Struthio camelus: one gene and its partner. The main gene of each other region encodes a partner of the protein of the gene in region 2 in a complex. Links are inferred from orthologs where the notes say so. Each region holds a gene or a part of one and is shown on either strand. Other genes may lie near its edges. The genes, in order: CAMK2A and LRRC7.

What was found.
Region 1: the proteins of LRRC7 (region 2) and CAMK2A are in contact, whole or in part, in a crystal structure (PDB 6X5G), measured with the Homo sapiens proteins. The link is inferred for Struthio camelus from reciprocal best matches to the Homo sapiens genes LRRC7 and CAMK2A. Residues at the interface, in NP_001357714.1 of Homo sapiens: His843, Gly844, Arg845, Arg846, Pro847, Leu848, Ile849, Arg850, Gln851, Asp852, Arg853, Ile854, Val855; in NP_001350919.1 of Homo sapiens: Glu96, Phe98, Glu99, Ile101, Val102, Lys137, Glu139, Leu159, Phe173, Ala174, Gly175, Thr176, Pro177, Gly178, Tyr179, Leu180, Ile205, Gly209, Tyr210, Pro211, Pro212, Phe213, Trp214, Tyr222, Gln224, Pro233, Glu236.

What each region holds. Positions count from the first base shown.
Region 1 is NC_090954.1:7,423,576-7,430,939, forward strand, and holds the start of CAMK2A (calcium/calmodulin-dependent protein kinase type II subunit alpha), read right to left. Parts: upstream 3,175-7,364; 5' UTR 3,026-3,174; coding exon 2,964-3,025; intron 1-2,963. UniProt on the Homo sapiens protein: Calcium/calmodulin-dependent protein kinase that functions autonomously after Ca(2+)/calmodulin-binding and autophosphorylation, and is involved in various processes, such as synaptic plasticity, neurotransmitter release and long-term potentiation.
Region 2 is NC_090949.1:37,446,988-37,454,674, reverse strand, and holds the start of LRRC7 (leucine-rich repeat-containing protein 7), read right to left. Parts: upstream 3,028-7,687; 5' UTR 2,955-3,027; coding exon 2,930-2,954; intron 1-2,929.

The DNA of each region.
Region 1 (7,364 bases), on a different chromosome or scaffold from region 2:
ACCTCTTGAAGGGTGCAGGGAACCTTCCTGGTCTGCTGGCACCCTGAGGTCCCTTTTAGGACAGAAAACTGCTCGTGGCCAACCCGCTCCTCCACTGTTTGGCTTTGCTCCCTCCCTAGGGTTCCCCATCACGCTTGGACCATAGGAGATGAGTTCTCGCTCTTCCCAGCAGGCCAGCAGTGCAGAGGTTGTCACCCCAGCTCCCTCCAGCTCTCCTCCTGGCAGCTGCCTCAGGGATGCCCCGCGTCAACCCCAGCGGCTCACTGGACCACCCTGGGGCACCCAGGAGGCTGCGGCTGTGCTGCCCTGCCAGCAGACTCGAGGTGCAGCCTTTCACCTCTGTGGCCTCGCAGCTCCTCTGGGATGCTGCTCCTCTTTGGGGTGCCAACGGGTACCGTGAATCACCCCAGCCCCAGGGTCATGCCTTGAGGAGGTCCTTTCCTGGCCTCGCTGGCCACACTTCTTTGCCCAGCAGCATCTGCTGTGATTCCCCCTCGATTTAGCCCAATCTTTCCCATTGCCCTGTGGTCCGGAGCCCTGCAGGGAGCAGCTCATTGGAGGGGCGAGCAAAGTGTCTGGGAGGAACGTCATTCCCCACTGTGGAGCTCATGGCACCGGACTGACGAGGCAGAAGGAGCACGCTCTCACTCGAGAGGTACAACACTTCATCTGGATTTCCTGTTCCGAGCCCACAAAATGGGAATTTCCCCACTGGGAAACCGCTGATTTTGCAGAAACCACATGATGCATTGGAAACCATCCCAGTGGAAAATTCCCCACCAGCTCTACAGTGCACTGACTTGTGAGCCCAGAAAAGTCCACCGAGGCCTATAACTTACTCGGGAGCATGTCTCAGCGCTACAGTGGCATCTGCCTCTTTCCAGCTAAGGCAAAAATCAGTAGGATGCTCTGAGCTCAAGCAGCTCCCCTTAGCACCGAGAATGAGCAGCTCTGCCACTGCACCACCGCTCTCTAATTGAATCAGGCCGCAGCAGGAGGGAGAGGTTAGAGCTGCCTGTCGGCAGGGACAGATGCTCCTGGGAGCTGGCGAGGGCCTGCATCTCTCTGGCTCACAGAGCTTGGCTGAGGGTTTGGGATGAGCTGTGCAAATCCTGGCTTTCCCCTGCTGTCAGCCTGCTTATTTGTGTACTTGCAGAAATGCAGCTCTCAACATGGTCCGTCACAGTGGTGCCGGCTGGGGCTCTGGGAACTGCTCGGGCTCCGCGCTGATCTCGCACCCCGCTGTGTCGCGTGCCTGCCTAGCAAAGCAGTTGTACCCTCAATGCAGCAGCTCTTCCGGCCCTTCCCCATCACACCTTTGCTGACAGCATCTTGTCTGTGGCCCCTCACACTATTTCTGCCCAGCCAGCTCCCAGCAACTTCCCTCCATGCCACCAAGTGGTATCTCAGCACCTTCAGCTGCCACCTCTCCTGCCCACCCCGTGACATGCTCGCAGCGTCTCGGAGCTCGGAAGAGCTGCGAAACCTCTGGAAACAGCAGGTCCCAAACCCCAGCTTGCTGCCAGCTCCGCGGAGGGTGCTCGCCCCCCTGCCTGCAGTGCCGGCACGGCCTCCCCGTGCTACGGAGACCTGGCCACTGACTCACTGCTCCGCTCCAGCACCTCACCCCAGCAATGACGCAGTTGCCAAGCTGGGCGAAAAGCACCACACGCTGGGGCACTGCGCGGCTGACCTGTCTCCAAGGGGACATAAAGCCACATTTGCACATCCTGGTCCATTCGCTTCCAAGGAGCTGCACTGGTCTCTAGCAGCAACCTGGTCCCCCTATCTGGATGGGAAATAATAACCGCATTTAACCTGGTGCAAAGTCCTCCCTGATTTTATCCCCTTGATTTCTCCATCTCTGTCCTCTCCTTTCTTGCTCTCCCCCATTTTGCACACCCACGCAGGCGCGCGGGCACCGATTTAGGCACAGGCTCACCCTGCGCTGTGCAATGCAGGCATGCAAGGCTGGAGCAAGTTTCCATGCCTACAGATGGACATAACTGCACATTCGAAACAGATGCGCTCTGGCATCCGGCAGATACACCCCCCCCAGTTCGGAGACAAAGCCGTGACACGCAAGGCTCTCGGGGAGCCCCTCCGAGGGAAAAGCAGCCAAACGCCCCAGATTTACATGCTCCTTTGAAAAAGAGGCACAGAAACCAAAACACAGACACACGCCTGCTCACCCGTGCATGCAGACGCACTCCGATGCGGAGCATCCCTCTGCCCGCACGGGCGACCTGAATTGCTGCTCCGCCCTGGGGTGCTCAGCACCCCGCAGGATAAGCCCACCAGGCAGTTGTGCACCGGCACATTTCTCTTTGCACGCACGCACCTATGCGCACCTACGCGCACCCAGATCGGCAAAGACCTGCACGTGCAGGCACCGTGACCAACCCCCGCCAGGCGAGCCCTCGCCGGCAGCAAAGCCGCGGCAGGGCTGGGCGATGGCTCACCCGCGGGGTGCTCGCACACCGGGGTGCCCCTGCGGAGCTGCTTTCGGCAAGCGCCGGGGATGTGGAAGGGATGGATGGCAGCTGGCTTCGCTGCCTGCTTTCTCCGGGAGCTGCTGAGCGGGTTGGGGCTCCCACAGCACCCGGGGAACCTGGCGCAGAGGATTTCCCTAAAGAAACGCGGGGGGCACCAGTGGCTCAGGCTCGCCTCTCCGCTGTCCCGTCCCTCCTCGCAGCTGCGCAAGTTGCCAGGTGCCCCGGCAGCAGCCTCTCCGAGGAGCTGGGGTCTCTCCTCCGCGAGAGGGGTCCCGTTCCCGCAGCCCCCTCCCCGGACCGCTCGCGATGCCGCGGCACGGCCCGTCGCCGAGCAGCCCCGGCGGGCGGACGGACGGAGCCCGGTGCCTTTTCTCCCCCGCGGCTGCTCCCGAGGCTTTTCCCAGCCGGGTGAAGCCCCTCTGCCGCTCCGGGCGGCCGGGGAGCATCCGAGCCCCGTCTCCAACTTACTTGCCCAGTTCTTCGAAGAGCTGGTATTCCTCGGTGAAGCGATTGCAGGTTATGGTGGCCATGCCGCGGGGCTGGGAGCGCTCCCTCCCCGGCGCCGAGTTCGGTGCGAGTGCCTCTCCTCTCACTCCCTCCCTCTCCGTGTGCTCCCGGGGCTCTCTCCTCGCCGAGGTAAATAAGGGAATATGTTTGATTGACAAGCCCGGAGATAATGATGAGGGCAATTTGTCTTCTCAGCCTCGCAAGCCTTCGTCAGCATCCCCGTCCCCATGGCGACCACCTCTGCCAGAAACGCCCTGTTTCTGTTGCCGGGGCAACTGCTTCCCAAAACGCGGGGCTCGGCCGGCGCCGCGGGGACCAGGCCCTGCCGGGCTGGGGGTCGCTGGCTCGCCGGCGGGGGGCAAAGCTGAAGACGCAAACGTTAAAGGCAAACCGAAGGATGTGGCGGCAGAAGAAGAATTAGGGCAACCCCCCCCCCCCCCCAAGGAAGCAACAAAAAAAAATCAAAAAACCAAAAAAAACCCCCAAACCCAGGTTTCCATGGAAACCACAGATTCCATGTTGCAGGAGGGGACGGACAGGCTGCCATCACCCCGGCAACGGCTTTGCACCCCCAGCCCCGGCCACTGCCGCCTGCGGCCCCTGGCTCCGGCCGGGGCCACCCGGGCGCCGGGCGAGGGGGGGCGCAGTGCCCAGCGGGGCCGGGACCGCCGCCGGCTCCCGCGCTGCCCAAGCGCCCCGCGCCCGCCGCGCCGCCCCCGGGGAAGAAACGCTTTTGGGCTTTCATTTCCCTGCAATGTCCAGCCAGGAGCAGATTGCGGGGTGGGGAGGGATTTTGGAGGAGGAAGGTCTCCCTTTTTGTTTTAAAGCCTCCCAGCGGGCGCTCTGCCGGCTGAGGCGCTGGAGGAGGCTTTGACAGGGTGGGGACCGGGGCATGGCAGCACGGGAGCCTTTCTCCCGAGTGTTTCTCCAGCATGTGAATTAAGAATAAAGCCTTTTATATCTGTGCCACCCAGCCCTCCCTGCCATCCCCCCCCGCAGCTGCTCAGATTTCAGTCTCCGGCTGCTTCTAATGGTAAGGTCACAAACGGAGCCGAAAATCCACCGAGGACGCGTCTCGCAAATAACGGCAAGTCAAGCCCCTGGGTGTCTAATGCTTAAAAAAAAAAGAGAGAGAACATTAAAAAAAAAGGAGTGAGCCCTGGGACCTGAGGCCCTGGGGGAGAGGTTTCTGCCAGAGCCAGCCTGGGGCTCTTCGCCGATGCGGCACCAGCACCCTCTCCTCCGGCCCCCGGCTCGTCCCCGCCACCCTCCTCCTTGCTGGGGTTTGCTCCGGGCTCGCAGCACGGCGAGGCCGCCAAGCCCAGGCAATGCCATAGTATCCTTATCCCTTCCGTTTTTGAGTCCAGATTTACCCCTATGGGTTTGCCCCAAAGGTCCATCGACCCTGACCCTGTCCCCTGACACCCTCCCGGCTTCGGGCCTTTTTGTGCCTGTCTGACCCCCCCCCCCCCCCCCCCCCGCAGGGGAGTTTTCTTCCAAGTATTTTTCTAGTTTCTGGACATTTTGGCAGGACTATCCATCCTGCCGAGGGAGCAGCGTGGAGGAGCCCCCGCTGCCGCGGGAGAGGGGAAAGGACCGCTGCAGCAAGGCCTCCCGCAGCCCGCCGGGAAGGAACTGCTTTTGGCAGACGAGATTGATTTAGTTCCCTTTCAGGCTGCCATGGAAGGGTTAAAAGGAAAAGAAAAGGCTCTAACCAGACAAAAATAGGGAGAAATCTTCGAGAGGAGAGAGAGAAGGAGGGGCGGAGAGAGGGAGAGAAGAAAGGAGGTGGAAGTGGAGGAGGACAGCAAGTGGCTGAGTGAGGAAGAGGAGGGGGAGGAGGAGAAAGGTCTAATGGCTTTTCCATTAATTGCACCATTACCCACTTTCATACCCACCTTTTCCTTCCCGCGCTCCAGCCTCCCGCTCCGTGCCCCGGTGCACCGGCGAGACGGGGGCCATCGCAGCCTCCCTGCCCAGCCGGGGCCGAATTCCCGGGCGTTTTTGCCTCTGAGGTGACTAACCAATGCTGCTTGCTTAAATGATGGTGGAGATGGCACGGAGGCTCACTTGTCTCCTTGGGGGCTGCCGGCCTCCTGACCCACCCTGGCCGTGCGGCCGCTTGTGGACAGCGAGCCGGGCCCGCCGGCACCGCGGTTTTGGGTGAAGCCGACGCTTCCGTGTGACCTGTGTCCCGGGAGTATGCGCTGTCCCCAAAACGCCCCCCTCTGCCTCAAGACCCCCCTCTCCTCTCGCCATCCAAATCCCACGGCGAGCTGCAGGGCTTTGCCGCGAGGGAGCCCACTCGGAGCGGAGGGAGGCAGGAGCCCGCCCGCACGCGCACGGCTCGCTCGCCCGCCCGCCTCCGCGCGTGCCCACGCGCCCGCGCGCCGCGCTGCCCGCGGAGCCGGCACGCGGGCGACGCCGGCCGAGAGCCCCGCAGGGAGCTGCGCTGCGAAGCCCCTTTGGGCGGCTCGGACTCTGCCCCGAGGCTGCTCCCGCCCCGCAGAGCGGTGCCGCTTGGCCAAGGGTTTCTCCCCTGCTCACCTCTTCCCCACCCATTTTTTTCCTTTTTCATCAGCGTTTTTCCTTCGCCGGGTGGGGGGGGTGGGTCTTAGGTTTCGGCGGGTTGAAGATGCTCTGAGTTGCCCCTGAAATTTTCCCCCATGGGCAACGCTGCTTCGCTAAACTCCCCATTTCCTGGGGAAGACATGAAGCGAAGCAGGCGTTTTGGGGGGGAACCTTTCCCACCTGGGGCTGGGTGCTGCCGGCAGGAGGTCTCTCCCCACCCCCGGGGACAGGGAGAAGTCCCAGACCCCTCGCGGCGGTCTCGGGATCTCTCTTAGGAAAGCCCGCCGCGGTCTTTTGTCCAGGGCGGCTGGAGCGAGCTGCGTGGCCGCCCCGGGTCGCGCTGCGGGGCTCTGGAGCTCCCGGCAGGCCCCTCTCTGCTGCTGTGCTGGGCTCTCGCCGCCTGATGGAGACCTTCCTCCCGAGCGCCTCCCCGCCATCACCCTGGCTGCCTCGCCAGAAACGCCTCCTGCTCGCCCACGCGCACCCTTCGGCTCCGCGCCCCGCTGTCCAGTGCCCGCATCCCGGCTGGGCTGCAAACGGGGAAGCCGCGGGGCCTCGGCTGCGCCCTTCCCCGCGGGGACGTCCCCCCGTTCAGCCCCCCGGGCCGGGGCGCTGCGTCCTGCCCCTCCGCCCGCCAGGCACGAGACGGGCGACTGGCCCGTGGGGCTCAGGGACGGCTCAGCCTTCAGCGAGCAGCAGCGTTGCCCGGGGGGGGCTGCGGCAGGACCCCCCTCCTCCCAGGGGACAGGGGCTTACGCGGGCCTAAGAGAGCCTGCAGTTATGTCTCACATGCAAAACAAGCGGAGCTGCGATTTACATATTGCAGAGATCCCAAAATTACTGGGACAGTTTCACACGCAAGCTGGGGTCTGGGGGATGCTCAGTTGATGTCCTCTGGAAAGCTGAATTCTTGGTTATTTTTAGATAAGGATTATAAATACCATGGCAAGGAGAACAGATTTACATTTAAGGTTGTGTTTTCAAATGTGCCCTGTCCCTGCAGGCCCTGCTGCTCCCTCCTGCTGCCCCACAGCAGCTCAGCTTTTGGTGGGGAGGGGGTGTCCCCAGGGCCACTTCTTCCCTGGACACCAGGGTCCTTGGCTGGAGACCCGCAGGAATAGGCCTTCTGCAGGCAGGATGCTGGGTGCGTGGGGACTGCCACCAGGCGCCCTGCGGCTCTCTTGGGCCATCACTTGCCCTTGCACGCTAGCTCCACTCTGCCACGGGGAAACCTCATATCCTCGAACCCCTGGTAGGAGAGAGGATGCAACCACCCTTGCAAATACAACCCCCTTATCTGGACCATCCGCTCCTCGGCATGAGTTGCCCACGGCATGTGCCCTCCTTGCTGCCCTCCCACGAGGGCAGTTATAAGGAGATGTACTTTCCTGCCTTGACGACCCCACATGCATCCCCCTTCCCCATCGCCTCCGTGGGAATCTGCCCCGCACTCAGCTCCCAGCCCAGGATTTTAAGTAGACTTTGGCTTGCGCTGATTTTTCAAGAGCGGGAGGGAAGGAGTGAGGAGAGCTCTCAGCTTGTCTGTGTAAACAGATCTCCTTGGTGCGAACATCGCCGGCAAGGCAAAGAGCTCCACAGCCAGCTTGGCAGCGTCTCGCCCACCGGCTGCCTTAACCCCTTTGCAGCCGGAGCTTACAGGCATCTTAAGGGGCTTGAACTGTTCCAAAACACGTGATCTTGGCACATCATTTCGTTTCTCCCCATGCCTGGAGCTGCCCTGCGCTGTGCTATCCCAGGAGCCATCAATAAGCAGCGGTGGGACGGGGTTGT
Region 2 (7,687 bases):
AACAAATTGCTGCACTCCCAGAAAAAAAAAAAACGGATAAAAAACTAGCAGTTCTAAAGGACTTTTCATAGGATTTGATGCAATCTGCCATGCCAGCAAATTAAAGCCTACAGAAATCACTAAAATTAGAGAGAGGCCAGATGAAAACTGAAGACGCGCAGTGGCTCTAGGAGATCTTTAAATAGAGCTTAATACAACATTTGGGGGCCTAGTCTGTGCTCAGCTTAGTCCTACTGGGTTGTTAGTTTGTATCATAAAGCAGCATCGAATATTTTTGGTATAGTTTTCTATATTACATTTCACACGGTTTTCAATACGCACTTTCAAATACCTATACAATGGGCCATCTTCTTTGCCAAGCGTCTACACTAGTCTGATGGATTAATACACTCTCACGTAAAGGAAAACATTTTTTCTTATACTGGACAGTCAGTCACGTGAACGGGTAAGTCACACCATTACAGGGTTTTGTATTAGTTGAACGCGTAGTACACTAAAATTCACCATTTCTGAAGCATTATCCAACCTTCACTGCACATCATCAGCCCTCCACTCCTATCGGCAGTCTCAGACGCTAAATGGCAACTCCTGGGAAACAGCATCCGTCTCACGGCCCCCTCGCATCCGATCGGCGAACCCCATCGGCCAGGGCAAAAACCGCAGGGACGGCGTGTGGCCGGGCGCAGAGCTGCCCCACAGCCCCCGGCGGGCACACGCAGCCTCCGGCCGCCCGCACGCGCCGGGAGCTCTGCGAGGCGGCGGGGTGGGCGAGTGTCTGTCTGCTGCCTGCTTCCATATGTGGGTTAATCCCTATTTTCTGGGTTTAGGCTGAAGTTCAGTGCACTGCAGTATTTCCCATCCCTGGCGTCCGTTTTAAGACCAGTGCACACAACCATCACTTTGTACTGATGCACATACCTCAAGGGCAATTAATTCCTTGTTAATCTGAAGTTTTGTGGCTTTAACGGCAAGCACACACCGCTGTCTTGAAATTCCAGATAGTGGACAATCTTCCTTTTAAAATGCCTTTCACAAGCGTCTACTACTTAAAAAAAATTTTAATCAATGATTAAAAAGTGTTGATAAATTCTTATGGGACCAAGGAGTGAAGAATTTGCTCATCAGCACACGCGACTCCTTCCTTTGATGGGCTCCCACAGTTGCCACAAACACTGTTCCTGCCATCTTCCGAGCAGCTGCCTGCAGCCAGGCTCCGCAGAAAGAAACAGTTGCTTTTTACCTGCTGTTCCTTACTTGTTAAACAGTTGATATATCATTTACAATTATTAACGATTATCTGCAGAAATTGGTTTAATATAAAGCCTTTTTTAAATATGCGCATCATTTGTATAACAAAACCACACAAAAAAGCTCCTCCTCTGTGAGATATTAGAAAAAAATTACTGTTTGCGTGACTGAGAAACAGTTTTCCACGTCAAGCTTTAGCAAAGGTTAAAGTTCAAATGGGCATCAAGCTATCATGACACATCAAGATATCTGATTACAAGATCACTAAATTAAAACAGCTTTTAAAGTACAGACTGCTTGAAAACAAAGAAACCTTCTTTCACTGGTATTGCACAGAAAGAAGAATACATGACCTTCTCCGAAGTCCGACTCCCTTTCCCTCTCATAAAAACCTACTTATGAACTGCAGCAGCATTAATGTTCTTATCAAAGAGGTCATGTTTTCCAACATACACAGTTTATTTATAATTATGTAGATGCTGAAATCAGCCTGCTGTTCATATTTCTTTAAGAAAGTCTTGCTACTTCCAAGTGAGTAGCTGTAATATGTAATCTAGAGGTTGCCATGGCAAGCATACATTCTCGGTTGGGTATCACAGTAAGCCGATGCGTAAGAGCAAAATCCACGAGATTAAGTCACTTCTCTCGTCGCGTAACAATGAGAAAAATGCATTTATCTATCCCTAAACACCAAAAGCACCCAGAACACCTCAGGGTAAAAATCAAGAGTGGCACGTGGCTCAAGCTTTTAGCTGAAGATCAGAGACGTACAAAAGAAAAAATGATTTAATTATAGCAATAGGCAGCCTAGAAATAGCCAAGGTATATATTATTTTTATCTCCCCAAAACCAAGAAACTTCCAAGGGCGCTTTCCCTGACACGACCCTTCACCAGTCCAGCCGCGGAGACAAACCCTGGCCAAGCCCGGCCATCTCGCCGGGCGCTCGGTGCTCGCGCCCCGCGCCGGCACCCCGGCCGGCGGCGGGGGAGCTGCGGGCCCCGACGCCCCGCGCCTGCGGCCCACCGGCACGCGCCGGGGTCCCGGGGGTGTCCTCCAGACTCAACGGGAATAAGGATGAGCTCATACCTATTGTCCTACGGCTCTTGAATTACAAGCAAGCAACTTCCAACACACGCTACCCTTCCTCCAGGCGGTCAAGAGGCAAAAACCCGACGGTGTCGGAAGAGAGCTGACGGCGTTTAAGCCCCACGGGCGCGAGGGGCGCCCCGGCCGCTGGAAGGCGACGGCTCCGCGCTGCTGCCCCTCCGCATGCCTCCGCCGGGCGCCGATGCTCCCGCGCAAGGTGGGAACGCTGGAAAGGGCGCAGAATTTTCCAGGAGCTTTGCCGAGCTCGAGGGCTTAGTTGAGGGAGGTGAAAGGCAGTGAGGGTGGAAACCCCCCGAGGCGGCGGTACCGCGGCGCCCCAGCCGCCGGGAGAGGCGGGCGCGCCGCTCCCGCAGCCCGCAGGGGCGCCGGGCCCGGCCCCGGCGGCGCCGCGGGAGCCGCCTCCCCGGCGCAAGTGCTGCCGCGGCTCCGCCGCCTCGCTCCGCGCCCCGCGCAGCCCCGGCGGGGCCGCTCCGCCGGCTGCCGCCCCCGATCCGAGGAGCGGCGGCTCCGCGGCCGCCGGGGCAGCGCGGCCCCCTGCGCGCCCCGCGCCCCCCGGCCGCGGCGGTACTCACGGTGCAGGCGGGAGCGCGCGTCCATGCGCCGCCGAGCCGCGGTCCGGGGGCGCGGAGCGTGCGGGGGCGCCGCCAGGGCTGCCCGCGCCCGCGGCTCGCCGCCCGCCGCCGGCCGCGCCGCGCCGCGCAGGACCCGCCCCCGTGCGCGCCGCGGGGCGGTGCCCGGGCTCGGACGCGGAGGCGGCGGCGGCGGTGGCGCGGGGCGGGGCCCGCTGCGCGCCCGCGCTGCGCTGCGCGGCGGCGCCGCCCGCCCGCCCGCCCGCTGCCCCGACGGGGCGCCGCGGCCCCTTCCCTGGCCGGCGGCGGGAGCCGGTTTCGGCACCTGCACGAAGTTGCGTTTCGGCCCCGGCCTCCGGGCCCCGCCTGGGGCTGCCGCGGGGAGGGTGCCCGGGCTCAGCCCCGGGGCAGCGGGGTGGCCAACACCGGCGCGGGTGGCCTGCTGCGGCCCCCGAGCGGACCGTCAGTACGGCGGGCAGCAAGAGGTCGCGCGCGTCAGACCTTCGCTTACTCACGTTAGATGACTTGGTGTCATATCGGTGCACGTTTGGAGTTACTGGCCGTTGCTGGGTTCTCTGTGCAGCTTCGTTGGCGCGCTGCGGAGCGGTTATTGCAGCCGGCAAGTTATCGCGGGGCAAACATCAGGCTCTCTGCAAAGCCTGCTTCGCACCTGGCGTTCAACATTTGCTGTCCACCTCCTCCGTTGCTCCTCTCGGAGGTTTCAAACGTTCCCCGTCGCGGGTGTTGCAGGGGGCGGCTCGCGGGCAGGAGCCGGCAGCAGCCCCGGGGTGAGCGTGCCGCAGGCTCCCGGCAGCGGGGCAGTCGGTGGGCCGCACTTTGCTGGGCAAGTTCCCAACCCGACTTGCCCGGCAGTACGGCAGCTTTCTGCCATCAGAGAGGGAAAGCGTTTATTAGGAGCTGGAGAGAATCGTCAGAGACTTAATGCCCGGTACAGAGGTTTTCATCCCTGTTCGATGTGGCTAATCCCCACGGCAGAGGTAAGCTCTTCCCGCTGACAGCATCTGTGGCGGGCGGGCGGGCGGCGGAGGTCGAACGCCTCCCGCGGGAAGGCAGCTGGCGCGGACGCTCCCCTGCCCTCCTGTTCGCCTGGATGACTGGAGTGGGAACTGAAATCTGGCCCCAGATAGCTTTGCTCCACCAAAATTTGCCTATTCCGAAGCAGCTATTGAACGGTTTCATTCCAGCCTGGGATGCAGTCTTCAACTTCAGCAACAAAGCGTTTGTTTCCCCAGTTAGTTGCACTCTATAACCCTACGAGGCTTTAGTTATCATGCGTTTTCTCCAGGTTGGTTCCTGGGGTTTTGCGGCCCCAGGAAGGCAGGATGCATCTCCCCCGCTGCACGCAGCCGGCCGCCCCTGCGGCCTCCGCGGGTCTAGCCAGCGCCAAGCCGAGTCCTGCCCGTGGCCTGGGGCACTCGTGGAGTTACCGCACTGAGAAACGAGCGTCGCACACCGCTGGGGACTCGGCCAAGGGACAGACAGGCTCCGGCCCTCCGGGGAAGGCCAACGCCAGCCCACTCGGGAGCGACGAGGGCATGTCAGGGGCAGCTTCTGCTAGGCAGATGATGCAGATTTATCCCCCGCGAGATCGGCCGCACCACGAGAGCATAGGGTGTGTTATAGCAGGGAGTTCCTCTCATACATTCTCTAAAAACCTGTGAAACATCTCCAAGATTTTGCAAAATAAAAAGCATTGGAACCGGCAAACGCCTGGAAAACTCTTCTCCTTACCAACAAAAGGCAGCTGGATCCTTCTGCCCGGTAACGGCAAGCGTTGAGAGGGAGAAACCCTCAGGCATTGCCTTGCCAGAGCTGCAGCCAGAGCAGGGAGAAGCAGGAACAATGCAGGTTCTCCGGAGATGAGGAGAGGATCAAGGCCCCACGAAGGCGATGGCCCTAGAAGGGGCGTGTAAGGGTAGTCCAGCTCTAAAGTTAGGGCTTTAATTCCTGCTCCACAAGACTGAGATTTCAGCATTAATAACAAGACTGTCCTCTTCCAGACACCAGCCCTGAATTATCATCCTATCGTCTCCTATTGGAGACCTTCCTGAGCCTCTTGTGTTTTTCCCATGGCCTTTGCAATGGCGTTTCCTGCTCTTCCATCCTCAATTTTGTCTATGAATAGTCATTGCAATGTACTGTAGGGTCATTTTCATCAATGCAAGACATGCAGACATGCAGGGCGGTGGGGAGATGCTGCAGAGATGGCAACCAGCGCGAGACCCTGGACAGACTGCCTGCCTGCTTGGGCAAAACCCAGCTCTGCTAGAGGCAGCGGAGGGGAGCAGCTCCAATTTCAGTGGCCACAGCTCTTGCCCATCAGGCCAGGGGCCGAAATCGCCAGCGCAGGAGCGTGCAGTGCCCGAAGGAGCCACCCGAGTCCTAACGTTTCTGCTGTGGTTGTGGCGAGGGACCTGCTCATCCCTCCGACTAGCGAGGCGGGCTCACGATGCAGCCCCAAGAGCAGTAAGTGACAAGTTCTGCACGACAGCAGTAGCTGTAACCCTACCCATCTGTATATGCCCCTCATGAAACAAAATTCAGTGCAGTCGCTTTCCGATGTTTGACGCTGCCTTATCCAGGCTCGAGCGCTGGCCTCCCAAAGCTGCGGCTCTGCCCGGGCCGAAGAGCAGCAGCGCGCCCTCGTCGACTCCTGCAGCAGCCGGGGCTGGGAGGTTACAGCTGTACCCGAAACCCAGCGCGGGGAAGAAATCCATTGACTCCGCAGTAACGGAAAGGGTCCGAGTTCATAGCTGGGGATGATTTGTACACTGGAAGGGGAAATGGGATTCATACAGGACCTTTAGGGATGAAGAAAACGAGGGTAACTTGATAGACTCTGAAGTGTCATAGTTAAATATATAAAGGTGGAAAATGGCTGTTGCTGAGCCATGGAGCTGGACTACACACTCGTATTCAAGGTAGGCAACTTCTTAACTACCGACAGTGTCTGGTGCTGAAGAATCGCTCCTCGAGTAACTCCACGAGGCCTGGAGGAGCTGCAGTGCTGACCCGCGGCCTCCCCGGCCCCGCTCGGGGCAGCTCCGGCTGCCTTACTCCGCTGAGCAGCTGGCGCTTTTGTGCTTGCCTCTCTGCACTGCTGCCTTCGGCGCCGAGAGCCACTATGGCTAGCAGGACCCAAATGAACAAGAGCTGAATTACTGTAGTCACATATATTTGTAAAACTTTGTTGTGTCACAAGCAGCTGCTGCATTACGCCGCTATACTGCAGCGCAAAAGGATACATTTGCAATAAAACCGGAATTAGGCTATGACAATCACTAAAGAAATAGCATATGGTTAGGTTGAGATATTGCATCCCTCTCAGGGAGTACAAAGGAGTCTGGGAAAAAAAGCATGATGTTTTCGTTACGTGATTATCACTGTACATGTGTTATTACTTCTGTTTATGGATAACACGGAAGTGGTTGAGTATCACGTAAAGAGCATCATGAATCCTGAATCACTGCTTAATTCAAAATCCTGATTCTGCTTAGTCTTACATGAGTTTCATACTGGTTTCATTTCAACTAACTTCAGTGGAGACATGCCAACTCTAGACAAATAAAGATGAGGCCCAAATATTTGCTTTATGAAAAAATGTGGATCTGGGGCATATCCCTAAACATTGCTCAGTACAAAAATGAAATTGAATAGCTGAACAAGCACACAGCCTGGGCTTCAAGATGTGTAACTCAATGTATTTTCACTGGCCTACACAGGTAAATAACCCCCCCTCCACAGTGATTTCTATTCATTTGTAGATCTGGCTAATGAAAGTTTTAAAAGAACGAAATTCCTCCAGCAAATTGTATTGGAAAACGAGATGCCTTCCTTGACTGAATTCTGCAAGTCTGATTTTACTTGGGTCCGTTGGAGTTATACTAGCCAGGAAGACAGCCTGGTCAATCAGAGCACTGGTTGAAAACTGGCTAAGACTGGAATAAAGTATTTTTTTCTCATTTTTAAAAAGCCTGAAATATATGGAGAAACAATAGTTATTAAGAATAAAATTCTTTAATAAATGGTGATGCTACATAGCTTTGAGAATTTTCTCTACAGAGTTCTCCATATATTTTTTTCCTCTGGTCGCACTAAGCTCTCTCCAGTGCTACTTTATATATTTCTAAATGAGGAAAATAATTCATTTTTGGAGGTTTTACGGTTCAGGTCGGGAAGAGTGGATGAGTCAGGGATTGCTATGGTGTATATGGGTGTTGGGTTTTTTGCCCTCTTTCTAAATAGGTGAAGGCAGACGGTAACTAAAAGCCCAGTCAGCTACTACAAAACAGTAACTGCCTTCGATTCCTGGTTGGGGCATACAGCAGCATTTACCTATTTTCTGGCCTTTTCAAGAAAAAAGCTGAGAGATCTCTGAGTCCATGAAAAACCTTCCAGACACAGTGCTGGAACGGTGACACGCGGGAGGACTGGAAGAAGGGACAGATTACAGGAACAGACCTCGCTTTAATGGTCCCTCACACCTTTCTGCGTACTGCAGAATTTAGGAGACTGTGCAGAGAGGTGTGAAAAAAGTGTGATTAAAAGGAAGAAAACATTTTAACAGAAACTAAAAAGCAGGCTAACATAAGTTTAATTTGACCAGTGCAACTCCTACCCCCAAAGTGCAGGCTGCCACCTTGGTAACGCTCTCGGTTACACTGGTAAAAATAGAGTTATCTCCAATACGATTTGGGGATTTCAGTACTATAAATGAAATATTGCAAAAGCTCTTACATC